5 linked regions of the Rattus norvegicus genome follow. The protein of the gene in region 3 purifies or fractionates together with the protein of the main gene of each other region. This does not show direct contact. Links are inferred from orthologs where the notes say so. Each region holds a gene or a part of one and is shown on either strand. Other genes may lie near its edges. The genes, in order: Dnajb1, Nek9, Ambra1, Bag5 and Dcaf7.

Evidence for each region.
Region 1: the proteins of Ambra1 (region 3) and Dnajb1 purify together in Homo sapiens (affinity purification with mass spectrometry, with the first as the bait; 3 studies listed by BioGRID). This does not show direct contact. The link is inferred for Rattus norvegicus from reciprocal best matches to the Homo sapiens genes AMBRA1 and DNAJB1.
Region 2: the proteins of Ambra1 (region 3) and Nek9 purify together in Homo sapiens (affinity purification with mass spectrometry; 3 studies listed by BioGRID and IntAct, with this or other methods). This does not show direct contact. The link is inferred for Rattus norvegicus from reciprocal best matches to the Homo sapiens genes AMBRA1 and NEK9.
Region 4: the proteins of Ambra1 (region 3) and Bag5 purify together in Homo sapiens (affinity purification with mass spectrometry, with the first as the bait; 3 studies listed by BioGRID). This does not show direct contact. The link is inferred for Rattus norvegicus from reciprocal best matches to the Homo sapiens genes AMBRA1 and BAG5.
Region 5: the proteins of Ambra1 (region 3) and Dcaf7 purify together in Homo sapiens (affinity purification with mass spectrometry; 3 studies listed by BioGRID and IntAct, with this or other methods). This does not show direct contact. The link is inferred for Rattus norvegicus from reciprocal best matches to the Homo sapiens genes AMBRA1 and DCAF7.

Annotation. Positions count from the first base shown.
Region 1 is NC_086037.1:41,428,341-41,432,325, forward strand, and holds the start of Dnajb1 (dnaJ homolog subfamily B member 1), read right to left. Parts: upstream 2,802-3,985; 5' UTR 2,702-2,801; coding exon 2,491-2,701; coding exon of another isoform or gene 2,319-2,490; intron 1,216-2,318; coding exon 635-1,215; intron 412-634; coding exon 181-411; 3' UTR 1-180. UniProt on the Homo sapiens protein: Interacts with HSP70 and can stimulate its ATPase activity. Stimulates the association between HSC70 and HIP. Negatively regulates heat shock-induced HSF1 transcriptional activity during the attenuation and recovery phase period of the heat shock response.
Region 2 is NC_086024.1:110,688,084-110,691,594, forward strand, and holds part of Nek9 (serine/threonine-protein kinase Nek9), read right to left. Parts: intron 2,692-3,511; coding exon 2,536-2,691; intron 1,205-2,535; coding exon 1,096-1,204; intron 278-1,095; coding exon 116-277; intron 1-115.
Region 3 is NC_086021.1:98,155,158-98,159,431, reverse strand, and holds the start of Ambra1 (activating molecule in BECN1-regulated autophagy protein 1), read right to left. Parts: upstream 2,807-4,274; 5' UTR 2,561-2,806; intron 2,250-2,560; exon of another isoform or gene 2,092-2,249; intron 1-2,091. UniProt on the Homo sapiens protein: Substrate-recognition component of a DCX (DDB1-CUL4-X-box) E3 ubiquitin-protein ligase complex involved in cell cycle control and autophagy.
Region 4 is NC_086024.1:136,590,473-136,594,542, forward strand, and holds the start of Bag5 (BAG family molecular chaperone regulator 5), read right to left. Parts: upstream 2,807-4,070; 5' UTR 2,695-2,806; intron 2,253-2,694; exon of another isoform or gene 2,237-2,252; intron 1,053-2,236; 5' UTR 1,028-1,052; coding exon 1-1,027. Other genes in the region: Coa8 (cytochrome c oxidase assembly factor 8), read left to right, coding at 2,940-3,062. UniProt on the Homo sapiens protein: Co-chaperone for HSP/HSP70 proteins. It functions as a nucleotide-exchange factor promoting the release of ADP from HSP70, thereby activating HSP70-mediated protein refolding.
Region 5 is NC_086028.1:91,472,729-91,476,710, reverse strand, and holds the start of Dcaf7 (DDB1- and CUL4-associated factor 7), read right to left. Parts: upstream 2,812-3,982; 5' UTR 2,584-2,811; coding exon 2,446-2,583; intron 1-2,445. UniProt on the Homo sapiens protein: Involved in craniofacial development. Acts upstream of the EDN1 pathway and is required for formation of the upper jaw equivalent, the palatoquadrate. The activity required for EDN1 pathway function differs between the first and second arches.

The sequences.
Region 1 (3,985 bases), on a different chromosome or scaffold from region 3:
GCTCGAAAAACCACTGTAGTCTAGTGCGCGACTTTGAAAGATTGTAATATATTCTGTGGAAAACATTCGGCAGAGCAAAAGCCCTCCCTGGGCCCTCCCGCAGTATGCAACCAGTGGAACGGTCTGGAAATCTGCAGCTCTGGAAAGGTCCCTGGCTCAGTCCTTGAGGAATGCAGGCAGCTATATGGGAAGAACCTGCTCCAGGATGGTTCTGGATGAGATGGGGATCCTATCAGGGAAGATGACTTCAAATTCGATAACAAGGTCTCCACGTTTCTCAGGTGTTTTGGGGAGGGGGAGGCCTTCTCCAGGAACTTTCCTCCGCATGCCAGGCCTGATGACATCTTTGAATACAACAGGAATGGTCCTGCCGTCCAGAGTAGGAACATTCACAGTGCAACCACAGAGAGCCTAGGGAAGCAAAAAGACAGTGTCAGGTAGCAGCTGGCTTAGGAAGCTTGACCCCTCCAGACCAGAACCATCCAGAGAAGGGTCAGGTCCACCAGACCAGGCCTTCCGAGACCCCACTACAAAGCTCCCCATGCTGTCAGAAACAGAGTGCCACCCCCACAGCCTGTTATCCTCAGTACCCATCTCTCTTCATGATTCCTCCTCCCCACACCCAGCACCTTACCTCCCGAAGGCTAATCCTGGCTGGATAAATGACATCAGAACCATCTCTCTTGAAGATATTGTGTGGCTTGTCCTTTAAAACAAAGACGATGTCAGCTGGAATGTTGTTCGAGGTCTGGTCCCCTTCCTTGGGAAAGGTGATTTTGGTCCCTTCTTTCCAGCCCCTCTTCACTTCGATGGTCAGGATCTTATCTTCATTTCGAATGCTCTTTCCATCAGGGTTCAGCCGCTTGTGGGAGATTTTCATCTTCTTGGTACAGCCGCTGTAGATCTCTTCAAGGGAGACCCGAAGGTCGTGGGTGACTGGGGGATCTTGCTTCTTCCGGGTGGGCTCTTGAGTAGGGCGGGAACGTCCAAAGTTCATATTGGTGAAGCCGCCCATACCCATCGGAAAGCTAGAGAACGGGTCATCGATGTCCATGCCTTCTTCCCCGTTGCGCTGCCCAAAAAAGGTATCAAAGGGATTCCTGCCACCGAAGAACTCAGCAAACATAGCATGAGGGTCTCCATGGAATGTGTAGCTGAAAGAGGTACCATTAGCACCACCACTGCTCCCGCCACTGGGGCCACCACCCTTCAGGCCTGGAAAACAAAACGGCAACTCAGGGTTACTGCAGGAGAGTCAGGACCCTTCATCCCAACACTTCTACACACAGATAAAACACAAAGCCCTTGAAACAAAGATCTTGGAACCCTAGCTCTCAAGACAGGAGCAGACTGATCTCTGCAAGTTCCAGAAAGCCAGAGCTCTAACATGAGATGCTGGAGAAATGGCTCAGAGCACTTGCAAAGGAACTATGTTCAATTTCCAACACCCACAAAGCAGCAGACCATGGTCTAACTCTAGTTCCGGGAACTTCAATGCCTTCTCTAGAAGCGTGTGATGATGCACGGAGGTACACACTCAAATAAATTAAAAAATAAAAGTTCCAGCAACAGTGAGGTCCTGTCTCAAGTAAATGGTAACATCTTGTTCCCTTGCATGTATTACTGTCAATTCTAAGTAGCACAAGAACTTGCTGTGTAGTCTAGATTAGCCTCAAGGCAATCTTTCTGACTCAGACACCCCCGGGGTGGGGGGGATTGTCACAACGTCTGCTTCCTTTGGAAACAGCTTACCCTGTAGCTCAGATTTGCAGCAAATTCACAACGTTCCTAATTCAGCCTCCCAAGTGGAGGTGTGAGCCCCAGTACACTGCTCTCAACAAGTTTTGGTCTTAGTAAAAAAGCAGCAGAAACTATAGTGTGTGTGTGGGAGGGGGTGAGGGGAAGGAGTTACGTGTATATTTTTAAAAGCTTTTCCACTTAAGTCAAGGACGAATCTCAAGTCTTTAACTCCCAATGGCAACAGGAACAGGAAACAAACCACCCCGTTTAACTTCGTGACAACAATTCAGTAGAAAGGTCTCTAGATGTTGGTGCCACCAGGTTGACGTGACTGCTCCATCCTCCCAGCTATGCTGTAACACCTTACAAAGAAGTTCCTACGCACTAGTACCAGAAAGGTTCAACTTTGGGTAAGCACCGAGCTTGCGGCTGGGAAAGGGAATCGACACTTGGGCAATTTTCATTCCCATCGCGACCGCCGCCCCCCGCCCCCGTCTGCAGCATTCCGGCGCTGTGCAGGCGGCCGGCCGGGAGGGGCTGCGGCAGACGTGCTAGAAGCTTCTGTGCTAGCGGCGCACCCAGAGCTCCTCCTCCCGTCTGAGGCCGCCGATTAGAGAGAAGGTGGAGGAGGCAGCGCCGCCGCGGGATCCCCGGACCATCTGTCCCCCGCCGAAGCCTCAGAGAGGCCCCGAGTGCCTCGGTTTCCTCGCCTGTCAAACGGCGGGTCACCCGGGCCGCGCGCACGCGTACCTTCCTCTCCATAGCGGTCGAAAATCTCGCGCTTGCGCGGGTCGCTGAGCACGTCGTAGGCCTCGGCGATCTCCTTGAACTTCTCCTCGGCGCCGGGCTCCTTGTTCTTGTCCGGGTGGTAGCGCAGCGCCTGGCGGCGGTAGGCCCGCTTGATCTCGTCGTCGGACGCGCCGCGGGCCAGGCCCAGCGTCTGGTAGTAGTCCTTGCCCATGGCCACCGCCGCCCAGCTGTCGCCGCCTCCGGCTCCGCTGCTGCCCCGTCCCGGACTCTATATACCCGTCCGGCGGAAGCTTCCAGATCCCGCCAGCCCTCCAGAACCTTCCGCCCCTCCCGATGCGTCGCCCCACACCGGCCAATCGCTGCAGCCCGCTGCGTGACGCAGCTCATCTGGGGTGGGACCCGGCGGCCAACGGCTTTCCGCGCGGGGCCACGCCCCTTCTCTCTCTCCCCTGGTCAACGCCTTCCTCGGACGCGCGCGCCGGCTGCCGAGGTCCCGCCTTCGCGGCGGATCCAGCCAATCGCGACCCGCTCTCCCTGATGACGCGAGGGGGCGGGCTACAGAGGCGGCCCTCCCGGATGGCCGCACCCTTTCCCCAGGTGATCGCCGCTGGGCGGTTCTGATGCGTGACTTATGGTAGCTACCTGATGTGTAACTCCAAGTCTTCCTGCTTCAACCCAGGGATAAAAATACGCACCCCGCCCTCTTCTGCCCGTAACCCTTTGTCTTCCCGTACAGGCCGTTACTGTAAAGCGAGGTGAGGCTGGTCTGCCTTGGGATTGCCCCAGTCGGGCTGGGTTATTTTACTTCCTACTAATTCCTATTGGAATTAGCTGGTTTCTTGGCGTTCTTGGTGTCACTTCCTTTGCAGAGAGTGAAATCTTTTTAAGATCCACTAGGTGCTTCGTAAATATTTCCAAATACTTTGACATAGATGTTTTTTGCTTTGGCTTCGTAAGCCTGGGATGATACGGTCAAGGACACTGCTGAGTGAGGAAGAGGACAGAGCTTCTGATATTGGAAGCTGGAGGAGTCAGTGGTGGTTCTTGCAGGGAATTGCCTGGAAGACAGTGCATGAAAGGCTGACAGTAATCCTAGCACTTTCTGGCTGTGTGACTTTGTGCTGGTAAAGTAGCCATTCTGGTCTCAGTGTGCTCATCTGTATAATGGGAATGGTCGCTGTATTATGGTTAAGTTGACATTATCCAGCATTTGTGAAAGTGCCGTAGACAGACAAGGTACAAAGGAGGTGTTCTTGAAAGGGATGATTAATCATCTTGTTTAGTGGACAACTGTTGACACTCACTTTCTGGCAGCCCTGCAGCATGAGAGTCTGATAACCCTTGCCTTAGGCACCCCTGAGAAAAACAACCTTAGCCATCCCATGATGGTATAGCTGTGTGTGTTTTGATTTCCCTGACCGTACTGACCCTGTGAAAGCTGAACCAGTTGAGTCCTCCTTCCCCCAAGATGGATTTGGGGCTAGGAAACCCATTA
Region 2 (3,511 bases), on a different chromosome or scaffold from region 3:
AATCTGGCCTTTAAAAAAATTTACTCTATCAGACATAAAACATATGCCAGTTACATAAAAAACTTCTTCCAGAATTCAAACCTGTCTGGAAGGCTTGAGAAACATAGGCACTTACCATCGGTGGCAGCGATGGTGAACTCATCGCCACAGGAGACCCTGATCACTTGCTTCCCACCAAGGGGTCCCCCCAACAGGTTGATTCCCAGGCGCTTCTTATAATTCCCAACACCCAGCTGCCCACACTTATTACAGCCAAAAGTCAGCAACCGGCCTCGCTCTGAGAGAGAAGCAAAAATAAAGGGCAATCACAAATGGGTCATGAAACACAGAAGACGGTACAGCAATGCAGACTCCTGCACTAGAACGTGTACATATCAAGTTACCCATGTGACCTTGAGGCGAGGGTATCTAGGTGGTGTGACCAATCAGAACCTTAATTTAGAATACTTATAGTAAGGGCCAATTAGAGACCATAGAATTCAGATGTTAGAAATATGTTTTTTTTAAGAGTATTTATGGCTGGGCATAGTGGTGCACAACAGCTTTAATCCCAACATTCGGGAGGCAGAAGCAGGCAGATCTCTGAGAGTTTAACAGCCTGCTCTACAACAAGAGTTTCAGGACAATGTTCAGTCAAATATTTGAGACACAGAGAAACCCTGGCTTAAAAAACAAAACAAAGATAATTTATTAATTGACTTTATGTGTGTATGTCTCTCTGTGTATATGCCACATGTTTGGGTGCCCTCAGAGGTCTGAAGAGGGCATCAGATCCCCTGAAGCTGGAGTTAATAGTCAGTTATGAGCAGTCAAAAGTGGATGCTGGTAAAGATGCTTGGGTTCTCTGGACAATCAGCAAAGACTGTTAACCCCTGAGCCATCTTTCCAGTCTAAAGTGTGGTGTACTTATTAAAGTGCACATTTATCTTGCACTTAAAAAGATCATTTTTAAAAAATCTGTACTTGAATGCCTGATTTGTTAGTGAGTTAATATTGAATACTAGGGAGAAGTCAGAAGAGATATCAAGAAAGCTAACACCCTATAGCACAGAGCACCCGAGTTCTGAGGGCATGCACCCAGCTGAGCCTGCTTACCATCAATAGCAGCCGTGTGAGTCTTGCCTGGAGCAATGGTACGGATTTTGTAAAAGGATAACTGTTTGGCCAAGGTAAAGGAGGTCGTGTAGGGAACTTCGTGGTATGCCTGAGACAAGTAAAACAGAGCAACAGGGTCATGAAGCAAAGGGTGGGACGGTGATGGCGGGGACAGGCTGAGGATGGAAAAGTCTTTTCAAGCAAATTCTAAGAGAGCATGCCACATAGCTTTCAATCTTCAACAGGACACAAGAAACAAGTAAAACACAGAATCGGAGAATTTGTTGCAAGAAGCAGGGATTTCTGATTACAAAAATCTACGTTTGTACTGCTTGCATCCGCTGCTTATCTAACAAGGGCAGGGCAAAATCTCTCCAGCTTACAAAGAAATCAGCTACCATAATCTAATTTCACCTTCATTATACATCTTTCTCTGAATTGGTATAAAAGCCCCACATAAAAAAGTTGACCACAAACCTTCATCTTAACTACCTTTCAAACTACCCACTCTCCAGCCTTTACCCTGAGTCTGTGCTCTCCTGAGAATGGACTTTAGACACTACACACAAATTAACTCAACATGGGGCTAGAGAAATGGCTCAGTGATAAGGAGCATTGTTCATCCAAAGAACCGGGAGTTCAATTCCCAACACCCACATGGCAACTTGCTATTGCCTGTAGCTATAGTCCCACGGGATCCGGTACCCTTCTTCTGGTGTGCAAATGTACATGCAGACAGAATGCCCAAATACATAAATAAATAAAACAGTTTAAAAAAGAACAAATTAACTCAACTTTTCATCAAGTTGCAAAACTAAATTTAGTTGATTTTGCTCTCTCCTTGCCCTCTGCAGTCAATGGTGTTGAGCTCTAACTGTAAAACCTACTGCACAGCTTGACCCACATCTGCACAAACACATTTGTGGGATTTTTGCCTTTGTTTTTTTAAAGGAGTGTTGCTACATACAGCAGGTTGGCCTCAAACTAAAGATCCTCCTGCCTCAGCTTCCTGAGTGCTAAAATTAAAGGCATGCACCATCACACTTAGCCTCTGTATGAAGACATTTATAAAACCACCACCCTGATCAAGACAGAGGTCATTCCCTCAGGTGATTCACCTGATTTTTGATTAAGACTCATGTACCCCAATAAAGAAAAAGAAATATGATAATAATAATAGTAATAATAATAAACCCCACAGAGAGCTGCACTTCTGACTATTGCCATCAAGTTCATTTAGCCTGTCCCTGAACTTCAACAGAACACAGTCACATGCTGTGAACTCTTCTGTGGCTGGCTGCAGCTGGCTGCTTTTCTGAACACAATGTCTGTGAGACTGCTTTCTTCTTGAGTTAAATTCCATGGCCACTAACTTATAATACCAAAGAAATCCCAGCCCAGCATTCTGGCAACGTGGTTAGAACCTCAAGGGCCACTCACTTCATGGTTGATGATCCCAGACATGCACTGATTCAGCCCCAGTTTGTTGAACTCGTTGAGTCCGCAGGCCAGCACTTTGCCTGACTGAGTGAGCAGGAAGGTCCCATCACAGCCACATTGAACCGCAACAATGATTAAGGCCTTTGGAACATCCACCTGCAAGGAAAAAACTTAATGGGGAAAAAAACCCAAGTAATACATAAATCATATTAGAAAACAACCCTCAAGTTCCTTCATCATGCTATCATGCTGCCCAACAGCTTGAAGGTCACTCTTCCTAACACAGAGTTCAAGTTTTATAACACATAGGGCTGCAGTTGAATGAACAGATGCTCCCTGTTAGTCTGTTTTAGGAATGGCTCCTACTTCTTTGGAGAAGGCTTCTGTAGAGGGGAGACTATGCAGACAAACTGGGAAGGGGCAACTCTGATCTCTAGCTGGCTGTTTTCTGAGATGAAGGGCTCCTCGACAGTTTTAGAAGAAAGACAGCAGCCTGGAGGATCTCAATTTTTTAGAAAGTGTATGGAGGGAGCAGCTAGGACCTCCATATCCTCCTACAGCTTACAGGAGAGGGCTGAAGGAGGAAGGGTGTCAGACGGGCCAGGGATATGTATAAAACCTTGAGCCTTAGTTTCTTTTCACAAGTAGAATGGTTGAATCTAAAGACAGTCTTTAAGTGTGCCATTTAATTTTAGAATAGAAGTAAAAATTTGGCAACCATTGGTGGTAGAGCTATAGTTAAGTGGTAGTTAACCTTCCAGGATTGGGTAAGCCTGGGCCCTGAGGTATGTAAGAGTGGTGTGACTGTGCTTGTCCCTCAGCTGACTCAAGTCTTGGGAGCCTCTTAAAGTGCCAGCTCTGGCAGTCCTGACAGTAATCAGATATGATGTCTCCTACTGCACAACCTCTAAGAAAAAACAATCTCACAAGGCATTCAATTGTAGTAATGGGAGGCTGGGGTAAGAGATACTATATC
Region 3 (4,274 bases):
AAAAGCAGTTTATTTCAGTAACTCTGGTCCAGCCACAATCCAGAAAACATTCAGAGGCTTTCGTCTTTTTTTTGTCTTGTGTTCATTTTTGTTGTTGTTTTTGTTTCTTGAGGCAGTCTCAGGATGTTAACTCTGGCTGACCTAGAACTCACAATCTTCCTACATCGGTCTCTGGGGTGTTGGAATTTAAAGTATGTACAGCCACAGCTATTTGAAGCTTATATCTCTTACTTATCCACAGGAACCATCTTAGCAAAATACAGAATGATTCAGTCATAATGTGAACATTTCTGAAATGCCAGGAGACGGCCCAAATTGACTTTGGTAATTCCCAAGATATAGCATCAAGTAGTGGTTCACACTGGTAATCCAGTACTTGAGGTAGGGGCAGGAAGATCAAAGAGCTCAAGGTCATCCTCAGCTGCACAGTCGATTTAAAGCTGGCCTGGAACACAAGAGGTCCACTCTGCCTCAAAAACTCCAAAACAACCATACACAAACCAAAAAAATATACGAAAATTAATCAAGCAAAACTTGTATGAATTATAAAGAAAAGTAGAGAAGCTTAAGAGTCTCATTCCTATAACCTCACCCACCACCAAGTTTATCTGTCTCAATTCAACTTAAACTTCTGCTGGTTCTTTCTTACAGAAACATTCAAAATGTTTCTAACCTTTTTCTTCATGACATATACAGCAATCACCATTTCTTATCTGTCACTCATTGGGAGTCACTAAGACACACTTACAACTATAAAGTCACAGCAGGCAATGTTACTTCTACCTCTACTTTCTTTGCTTTGGTATATTTTTTCCATAATAAAAGTTCTCTTCAAAGAAGATATAATTTTGGCCTAATTACCCAATCAAGAATCTACACACTTATAAAAAGTACCAAGGTCCTTATAACTAAGAAATTGCTTATGATCAAAAGATTTGATTTTCATGGACCATCAAAATGGCTCAGAAAATAAAATGGGATTACTGTCAAGCCAGATAACCTGAGTTCACTATAGACTAGGAGGAGAGAACAGACTCCTGAAAATTGTCCTCTGACAAACACATGCATGTATGGCATGCCCATGTGCAGACACACACACAAACAGGCAATCAACCAATCATTCAATCTATCACCTTCATTTAAATCTTGCCAATCTCAGGGGTAGATCTCTGTGACAGAGCATGTGTATGTGGCCATGGGTTCAAAATTCCCAGCACTACTAAAGAAGAGAAAGAATAATAAGCCTCACTAACCTTACACATACATTAAAGAAAAAATTAGAGAAACAATGTAAAATTCTATCATCTTTCCAAAGTTCATAAAGCATCTTAAAACTGTGTAGAAACAGAATTTCTTACGACCTTAAAGTCATTCTCCTATGAATTTTACATACTGTGGAAACTTATCCAACCTAGAATGACTAGGATCATGACACTTGATCAAACAGAATTAACAAAAACACTTGACCTTAAGACCTTGAGAAAGAAAAGAGAAACAGTGAAATTCACAAAAAGATTCATTTTCAATTTAACTAAGTTTGAATAGTTTCTACACAGACTTTTGAACTCTTAATAAAATGACTAAACTACTAACCAAATACAAAAAAAAAAAGTTTCAAAAGAGTCTCCTTAGACTCCCTCTAGATACCTCCTAGAAAAGACCTTCCCAAGAACCTAAGTTCAAAGTCTTAACCATCTTCCATCTTGCACTAAGTACTTAATCCCATAGCAGAAAAGAGTTAGAGTAAGCTGAAGAGTGGAATCAGTATTAATCAGAAGTAAAGTGGAAGTAAACAAAATTATTTATGAGAAAACAAAAACAAACTATCCTTACTACTTTTGCTAAAATACAAATTTCGAAAAGACAAATCCAGTCAAAAAATATTCCTTGCTCCCTTAATGTCTGAAGCCTCCAGTAACACAATAAATGTTTCTTAAGAAAGAAGAGTTCCAAGTAGTCAAATGAGAAATCACTGTTAAGTTAAAAGTGACCAGTAAAATGGGAGAAAGAGAAGGGTCAACTGTTAAAGACAAAAACAAACAGCATATTTAATGCTCTGTCGGGGTCATAGGGAAAAGTCAGGTCCCATACCTCAGCCTCAGTTTCCCTACTCCAAAAGAATAGAACCTGACATTTCGTTCCAAGGAGCTGGAGGGCCTAGTTTCAAGAGCCTCCACCAACTCAAAGGGCACTCCGAGGCTAGCCTCAGCGTGGGTCACCAGTGCAACTGAGGAATGACGTCCGGAACATGAGTTGCAGGAAAGGAGAGAGAGAATTGGGTCTAAGAGAGCCAAGCTCCCACAATCTAGGGGTGACGACACGAGTCCAGGACCAGACATCCCCTCTCTACAGAACCCGGCCAATAGCTTCAGCATCTCTCCCTCCTTCCGGCTTCTCCCTCAGTTCCGGGCAGCCCTCCGGCCGCGCCCCCAGGCGCAACCCCCTTCACGACGCGCGCCCCGACGGGCCGCGCGCTCGCCCACCGGCCGGCGCCAAGGTCTCCTCCTGCCTTCGGCGGAAGGATGCCGGACCGGGCCTCCCAGGCTCCTCCCGGGCCTACCTGCGAGGCGAGTGAGAGCTTGGCCGGAAGGCCAACGAGCGCACGGAGCCACGGACGGAAGGCGGGGAGAGGCTGAAGGAAGCGAGGGGCCCGCTCGACCGACCAGCGGAAGAAAGCGGCCAGAGCCCGGGGTCTCCCGGATAACTCAGTCCAGGACCTGGCACCGCCGCCGCCGCTCTGGAGACATCAACCTAGAAGACGCTGCAAAAGATCATCGAACACACGAACGCCCAGACATCAAAGGAAGAGCGCCCAAGCAATCGTTCAAGGAACTGCAGCCGAGTGCCGAAACATTGCTCAGCTCCTGCTGCAAGTCCCGCTGCCTTCCTAGGCATAAATAAACAAATTCAGATCATAAGCTAAAGCATAGAGTAGGCTGGGTTTCTGCCATTTTCTCTTGGTGACCGAGTGTTGAAGTAATTTAGAGAACTAAATTTCGGAGACAGCAAGCACGGTTGTAATCCCAGGAATTTAGGAAGAGGAGGCATTTGGAGGATATGGAGTTCAAAGTCATACTCAGTTAAGAGCAAGGCCAACCTGGACTATATGAGACCTTGTCTTAAGTGAAAAAGGAATTAGTCTTTTGTGAACACGTTGATTGAAGATAAATCATACTAGAATAAAGCTCTCCTTAATAGTTCAACGATTGCCCTACACTTACAGACTTCTTACACTACTTGTCCCAGTTGAACAAATGACTTCGCTTCTTTTGATTCTTGATTTCCTCTCAGAGCTGAAGAAAACGGAATAATCTCTATGAATGCCCCAGTTCAATCCAGGAGAACATAGAACAGCTTAAGGTGGGAGGGGAAAGTTCCTGTACCTTGTTTTTAAATTTTTATGATTTGACTTAGTTTGTTTTGCCAGACAAGGTTTCTCTGTGTACCCTTGGCTATCCTGGAACTGGTTCTGTAGACCAGGCTGGCCTCCAGCTCACCCAGATCTGCCTGCCTCTGCCTCTGGAGTGCTGGGATTAAAGGTGAGCACCACAACCTCCCAGCCTGTTCTTTTCTTTTTCTCACTTCTCTCTCTCTCTTTTTTTTTTCTTCCAAAGATCTAAAGCCACAGTCCACAAATGTGCTTTTAATTAGCTAAGTAGCTAGTTAGTTAACTAATTAGTTTTTAGAGACAGGATTTCATGTAACCCACACACTGGTCTTGAACTCTATGTAGCCAAGAATGACTTTGAAACTCTGATGTGCTTGTCTTCATGTTCCAAATTTGGAGTGTGCCTGAGGGATTGTGAGAGGTTGAGGTGGGGGCTCACACTCTGTAGCCTGGCTTGCTTGGAACTCACTATGTAGCCCAAACTGAGCTCAAGCTCACAGCCATCCTTTTGCCTCCGAGTCCTGGAATTATAAGTAACCATGCCTGAGGGGTTTTTGTTTGTTTGTTTGTTTGTTTGTTTTTAACAGAATCTCACTAGGTAATCCATATTACTTCAAACCCTATCTTCCTCCCTCTGCCTCCCACTTGTTGGAATTACAGGCATTTACCGACATACTTGATTTGTAGCTGATCCTAACAACTGCACTGGCCAGACTCCATTCTGTACAATCAATATGATATTTCTAAATATTTTCCATGTGATAGGTATTTGCTACTCTTCAGAAAAGGCAATTACCTAATTATGATTAGGTCTTCTTAGACATAAGCAAACAAAAATGATACTGTATGTCTTTAATCCCAACTTTCTGGAGGCTGAGGCGAGGGA
Region 4 (4,070 bases), on a different chromosome or scaffold from region 3:
TGAGGGTCTGCACCTCAATCACTGCTCTTCTCCTGGCCTCTCTGATGCAGGGGTTTTTCTCCAGACTCACTTCGTCCAGCTGCCCGATCAAGCCCTGCAGCTCTGTCTTGGACCTCAGGTACAATTCAGGAGGGCTCTGTGCCTGGAGAAGTTCATTTTTCATTTCTCTCATCCTCTTGAGGACATTTTCTATCTTTATAATGGAATGGTTCTGTCCCAGGTCAAATGCATGTGTATTGTCAGCTTCCTCTTCTAAATCTAGATATTTTAGTAATTTGTTGATATCTTCCACCACCTCCCTCCGATAATTTCTGATCTCTGTACGCCCACACACATCTAGAGCATCTAAATCAGCCATCAGTCCTGACAGCACGCATGATAAGTGCCTGCAAGTCTCAGAACTGTCCACGCCCATCAGAAGTGCAATCAGAGTACCTCTGGCCTTGTTCACCTCACACATCACAGAATTGATCTTGGCGACAGAAGGATGCACATCCTCGGAAAGTGGCAGGGAAGGCTGTTTCCTCACACAGTCTTCAATAATCTCTTGTACCGCACAGATCTTGGTTAGTGTGTGGTACCTTGCTTTCCGCAAGGAGATCTTCCCTCCTGTTTTAACATGTGTCAGCCTCAGAATGATGTCCTGGATGGCTTCCTCAAACTCGCTAGTCACACAGTTGCTTCCACTGTAAAAGGGCACAGTCTTTTCTTTCACAAGGGCCTGAGCTTCTTGAAAGATATTCTTGATTTCAATCCGGTGTGGGTGGTTCGCGTTCTGCTCCAACTCTTTGAGAAGGCGTTCTGTGTCCTGTGCTGCCCTCTTCCTAGCTTGCTGGATGTCTCCTTTCCCTTCTGTATCCACAGAGTCGATTTCAAAAAGTTGTTTCGTCAGAATCCTCTCCAGTCTCTTGTAATTCTTGTCATCCGACAGGCCACTGAAGCCAACCACTTGCTGCTCTATACTCTTTACTTCCCGTTGGATCTCCTGAAGCCTACTAATAGAAGGGTGTTGGTTTCCCATATCCATACTTGTGTGTTCAGTTTCACAAGCACTGAAAGATAGCAAGAACGATAACTTATTAGTCTCTTAGGGTAATAACCCAATCCAAACACTCCTTTTTAGTACACTTTTTAAAAGGGCTCACTGGGGCTGTGGAGAGAGTTCTTAGTCAAGTGTCCAGGTTGCAACTCCAGAACACGTGCAAAAAAAAGCCAGGGAAGGGGCTGGAGAGAGGGCTCAGTGGTTAAGAGACTTGAATGCTTTCTAGAGGACCTGGGTTTGATTACCAGCACCCATATGACAACTCATGACCACCACTAATGGTAACTCCAGTTCCAGGGGATCTGATTTCCTTTCTGTACTCTACAGGCACGCATATGGTGCACAGACATCCATGCAGGCAAATGAAACACCAACACACATAAAATAAAACAGAAAGGCCAGGCAAGACGGTGCCCAGTTAAATTCCCAGGGCCGGGGAGGCAAAGACGGATGGAGCTCTGGGATTCACTGGCCAGCCAGCCAGCCTAACTGAGGGGCTCCAGGACAATGAGAAGCCTTGCCTCAAAAAACAAAACCAAAGGACACCACAGAAACGATGGCGGGTGGACAGGTCAAACTCTGGCAGCTGGGCATGCAGCAAACACACGGAGGGTTTTGTCAAAGGTTTAAAAGACACTTGAGGAAAAGGAAGATGTGACATGTCAACTGCCTCTTTGAACAGGTACAAAAAACAAACCAACCAAGCTGGTGAGCTGGTGTATGCCTACCATCCTAGCACCAGGGAGACAGAGGAAAGAGAATTACGAATTCAAGATCGCCAAGGACTACTTGGTGACACCAAGAATCAAAAGCAAAAAGAAAATAAGGGAACACGGCAGGGATTTTAAGAACAGACAGGAAGGTACTCATGGTCCAGCCTGGGTGGATGTCTAGGCCTATGAATTCTGTCTTAAACCATGAAAGCGAGCTGCATACACTTTCATATACTAGGTCAACCCACCGGGTTAGCAGCAACACAATCTCCTGAAATCCCACCAACCTAAGCTAGTCTTTGGAACCAGCAGGGTGCCCTTGTGGAAGTAGCTCTTCCAAACTGACAGGAGCAGCATTCGGACAGACAGCTAAACTTGCTACTTTTCAGAAAGTGGAACTAAGAAAACGTCCAAATCCTCGCCCTCGACTTCAAGTACCCGCCGCAAAAACCTGACGACTGCGATTAACTCGGTCACTCGCCTCCCCGTAAGTGTGCTTAGAGCATTTCCCACGCTCTCAGGTTTCTGTCAAACAGCTCACTTCTGGCGGGCAGGCCACAGAACTCAGTCCCTGGGGAGGGTCCAAGCCCGGCCTTCGCAGCGCTTTACTCCGAGAGGTCTGGGTGGCGGCGGTCTTGGCTGCCGCGGAGGGCGGCGAGGTGGGAGATCGGCCCTTCACGGGGAGCGGCACCGGAGCGGAGCCCCCAGCGTCATCCCCCTCGCCCTTCCCGGCTAGGTCTGACCCGGGCAGCCGGTGAAGGGGCCGGCGGAGGCGGCGGCAGCTACTGGCCGCGGCGGCCGCTCCCGGGTCTCGGCCGGGCCGGACGCGCCGCCACCTGACCTCACAATGGGCGCGCGGCGGGCGCTGGCCTGCGCAGCGAGGGTGGCCAAGTGCCCGACTCCGGAAGCTCGGAGGTCGCGCCCCCGCGCAGCGCTCACCTGTGCCGCACGCGCCATCGCGCTCCGCCACCTCCACTTCCGCAGCGTTGTCGCCGTCCTCGCACAGCGGGCCCCTCAGCTCCGAGCCCGGAGAAAACTCGCCTCCTCGTCCGTGCGGGCCCCGCAACCGGTCGTCCCTCTCAGGGAATGCGCAGGGTCGGCCTCGCCGCGCGTCGCCCCAGGCTTTGCGACGCTGCCGTAAAGCCAACCTTTCCACTGTCGCGATCCTGCCGTACGCGCGGGCCATGGCGGCTTTGCGGCCCGGAAGCAAAGCTCTTCGCCGGCTGCTCTGCCGGTCCTTCTCCGGCGGCGGCGTTCGGCTGGCCCGTGAGCGCGCTACGGAGCGCAGGGATGCTGCGTCCAGCCGGGTAAGCGGGACGCCGGGGCGCTGGCAGGGAGGGAAGCCGCTGAGCACCCCAACGACGCCCGCGTCTCTCCGGCAGGCTAATGATCCTTGTAGCGGATCCGCTGTGGAGAGTGCGAATCTTGTTTATTCTACCAAGTTAAATACCATTTGTATCAACACAGCTCTTGAAGTGTGTTTTCTCACTTCCGCTTCGTTAAGACTAGTGTTCGGTTTAAAGCGGTGGCCGACTTCATCATCTCACTTGTGTAGACTTCGCATTGTTTGTAAATATGCACGTGATGTCAGAGATCAACAGTGCTTGTCTGCAGCAGGAAAGGACGTGAAGCCTTTTTAAAAATCAGTTCCGGGGCTGGAGATGGCCCAGCAGTTAAGAGCACTAACTGCTCTTCCAGAGGTCCTGAGTTCAATTACCAGCAACCACAAGGTGGCTCACAACCATCTGTAATGAGATCCATACCCTCTTCTGATGTGTCTGAAGACAGTGACAGTGTATTCCCATATATAAAAAATAAATAAATCTTTTTTTTATTAAATCAGTTGCACTTCTTTGCGACAGGATGTTCTGTTTAAGGAAGGCCTAGGTTTTGAGTCTATCCGTCAGATGAAAACATTAATCAGTGGCTACTAACACTTCACCTGCCACTAGGCTAGTGATAGAGACTGGAGAGCTTCGATTAAGCAATAATTAAGAGAGGGAATGAGGGGCTGGAGAGACGGCTCAGAGGTTAAGAGCACTGACTGCTCTTCCAGAGGTCCTGAGTTCAATTCCCAGCAACCACATGGTGGCTCACAACCATCTGTAAAGAGATCCGATGCCCTCTTCTGGTGTGTCTGAAGACAGCTACAGTGTACTTATATATAATAAATGAATACATCTTTAAAAAAGAGAGAGAGAGAGGGAATGAGGGAGGGGAAGAGAGAAACAGAGAAAATTAAGAATTGCAAAATGTGCCTGCTGTGGAAATTTTCATTTGCTACGCTGTGTCTCCCAGCACACTTATTATAACTA
Region 5 (3,982 bases), on a different chromosome or scaffold from region 3:
TATGAGCCACCATGTGGGTGGTAGGAGTTAGCCCTGGTTCTCTGTAAAAGTCCTCCCTCTAGCACATGATAGTCACAGCCATGCCTTCCCCAGTTCGTGTGGCTTTGGATGAGTTGTCTGCTTCGTCTCAGTTTCTTTCTGTGTTAAGATGAGGTAGAGTCAGATAACTTAGTTAGAAAGGTTTTTGTTCTTGTTCTGCGGATTTAACCAAGGACCTCGTGCATGGTTTGGTTACACCAACAGCTTGGGAAAGTGATTAATGACTCCAAGTGTTGGTTGATTTGAATAACACAGACATTTATCCCACACTTAAATGACCACTATGGAGTTCCACATCAGCACTGTGTATCCTAAAGTGGAATAAATTCTCTCTCTTCACAGAGCTTATGACAACAAACAAAGAAGGAGATATGGCACTTTTATTTTAGAAAGACAAAACCCACAAGGTAGTGGAACAGGGCGACATATGTTGGTAATCCCTGCCCTTGGGAGGTGGAGGCAGGTGGATAAGGAGTTCAAATCCCACCTGGGCTACATGAGACTGTCCCAAAACATAATAACCTCTTAAGATAGGAATGGTATATGTTTATTATCCACAGAAATCAAAGGAAAGATGCATGCTTCTAGGGTTTTTGTTTGAAACAAGGTCTTACTTTGTAACTCTGATTGGTTGGGAGCTCACTATGTAGCCCAGGCTAGCCTCAAACTTATAATAATCCTCCTGCCTCACCCTTTCAAAGGCTGGGATTACAGGTGACAGCCACCAGGCCCAGCTCGAGGGTTATTTTATATTACATACTTGCTCCTCAGGAGGCACTGGATATGTTCATAGTTTTAAATGAGGCACTGGAGAGATGGCTCAGCTGACAAGAGCACTTGCTGCTATTGCAGAAGACCTGTGGTCATTCGGTTCCTAGCACTCACACTGGGTAGCTTACAACAGCCTGCAACTCCAGCTCAGGGACACCCTCTTCTGGCCTCTGCAGGCACTCAACTTCTCCTTTTTTAGATAAAAAACTCTGGAAGAACTTAAAAGGGGAAAAAATTAATTTGTGTGAAAAAAACCCCACAGTCCTTTGAGAATATTTTACTTTTACTTCTAACAAGAATCCTTAAATAATATTTCTAGTGGTCTTAACCTTACAAACACTACAGACACCAGAACCCTGAAACACAGCTACAGGGTTATTGCCACTGTGGGTGGAGGGCGGGGGGGAGGGGGACAAAAGCCACTAGAGAGGAGAAAAGAAATAAGGCTCTTCCTTAGGAAAGGGCAGCTCAGTACACACTCCCTGGGACTGTATATGTGTGGTGTCTGGGCAATCAAAGTCCATTCTTTTCATCCATTTCTCAAAGAAGACTCCAAAGAAACGGGGACCTTTACCCAGAGAAACATGTGTGCTCCTGAAATACTATAAATGAACCTAAATATTCAAATGTTTTCACCTGGACCTTCACATGTAAAACATGTAAGCCCTCTCAGAAAAAATAAAAATTCGGTCTGTGCAATGCCTTATAGTTAAATCCTAGACCATCTACTTCTTCCACTCCTCCCCCCCATCTTGTCATTTGTCTCCAGTCTGATGTTCATAGGAGTAAGCCAGAGTACTGGCTCTAAACACCACTGGCCACAGCTTTCTGTAGCTCTGATTACTGTCGTTCGTATTTGTTTTCACCCAAATTACAACAAAAGAATGAAGGTAAGAGATTAGGGAAAGAAAATTCTTCCTAATACTTTCAAACCTATATCCTGCATATAAAAACTCTCCTTCTACCAGCATTTTGTTGGAGTGATGATGTCCAGCAATGTTGCAAATCAACGTGTAAGGAACAACGAGAAGAATAGGTCAAACGTCATCTTTCTCTATTCAGAAATAATGGCGGGATAATGCCACAGACTAAGGTTTCCAAGGATAGACTGTTTGGGGGAGGGTGAACATCGAGGAGCAAAACCAGTGACCAATGACAACCTAGCACTAGGGCTCTGTATCCATGAGAAACACCTGAGATGGGGAAGATCTTGCAATAAATAGCCCCAACAGAAATCTCGCGTGGCCAGGAATGCACGACCACCAATCCAAGCGCCCGCATCTTCCTCCACTGCCTCTCTCCCGCCCCCCACCTAGCAACAGAAGCACTGCGACAGAAGTGGGGGAAATGAGAGGGACGGAGGAAGACATGGCTTTGGGGGGTGTAACTCCGGTCTGAAACCTGCTACTACCATCAAAAATCTTATCTGCCTCAGGCATGTCACAACACCGTGCCTCGGTTTCCCCGGCTGTCAAAACTAAATAAGAGGCAACGAGTGTGACACCCTCAGCAACAGGACCTCAGAGGACCCACCCCCTTGTAAAGGCGAGTTCGCAGGAGACTTGTGAGATCTGGGGCTGCCGCCCACCTCGAGCGTTCCTCGCCAGCTACAAGCTGAGCCCCCTCACAACTTACCTTGTTGTTGTACTCCTCCACGAAGCTGCCCAGCGCCAGGCGAAAGCGCTTGTCCGGCCGCACGCTCCAGTTCATGGCGTACACAGTCCAGGGCGCTTCATATTTGTAGATCTCCTTCCGTTTGCCGTGCAGGGACATGGTGGCGGCTGGGCCGCAGAGACGGCCGGAGAGGCAGCGGGCTGAGGCACAAGACGGGCGGGGAGCGGGGCTTGGGTCCGCGGGTCCGAGGGGAGGCGGGGCCCGGGCGGTCAAGAACGGCCTAGCCCTCCAGCAGGTCCTCAGCTACACACACACACTCGGCCGGGCCGGACCACCAGTTTCAAACCAGCTCGGGCAGCGACTACCACCTTCCGTTTGGGATGTCGGCCCGCCCTCTCGGAACGGAAGCCACGCGACCCCACAGCGGCGACGAGCGTTGGCTACCGGGCACGTCCTTTCTAAACTGTTCCTTCTTTTCATTGGTCGACACAGTGGTAGCGCCCGCACCCTCCACACAATTGGTCAAAATGTTTGTCATTCTACTTATTCGCCCCGCCCAGCTCCTGGAGGCGGGCTCTTTTGAAGTCCCAAAGATCATTGGCTACCCAAGATGTCAGTCAGACGGATAACGGCGCAGTGCGGGTGAATGGGGGCGTGGGTGACATAGGGGCAAGTGTGCCCCGCTACTGATCCACATTCTAGGCCAAGAGTAAAGCCTGCCACTTCTCCATTGCTGCTGCTGTTCTGATCGCCTCTATCCACTGAGAGTAACGGTCAAATCCACTTTCATAGATGACCTCCTGCCTTTATTTCATCGCCCTAAGTCCAGCGGTCCCTCAGCCTTTGCCAGCCGAGAACTCTTTCTAGCTCCAATGCCCCCTTTTTAACTGTTCCCTTACAGGCCTGATAGAGACCTTCAGGGACAGGCTAGTTTGATTAAGGCTTTCAAATACATACTAAAAAGACTCCTGACTTCTAGGATTGATTTGCAATGGACCTGGCTTTTAGTAACTTACCTTCCTCTCCTGGGGTGTTCAGAACCCAAATGCTAATCCAACCTTAAATATCTATATGCCATGAGTTTGAAATGCAGAAAAGCCTGGATCTAGGTACACCATTATAAATGTAAATGCTTTTAACGATATTGAATGCTTAGGCAGCATTATAAAACACAATTTTTAAGATACGTTATTTAATTTTATGGGTATTTGTATGTGCCTGAGTGGAAGTGTACCACATGTGGACAAGTGTCCACGGAGGTCGGAAGAGGCATCTGATCCCTTGGAACTGGAGTTACAGATGGCTGTGAGATACCATCTGAGAGCCAGGGCTCCAAGCCACGTGCTCTGCACGAGCATCCAGTGCTCTTGAGGTCTATACTATATCTCTCCAGCCCATAAAATACAACTTGTAATGCATGTGATTTTAACAGAAACAAACACTGGGAGCCTCGAGGGACAGGGTATACACTTATCAATCATCTTTTAGTAACGGCCACCCGTAGGAGCAAGTCTACTCTGCACTTTTTTTTTCTTTCTTTCTTTTTTTTTTTTTAATA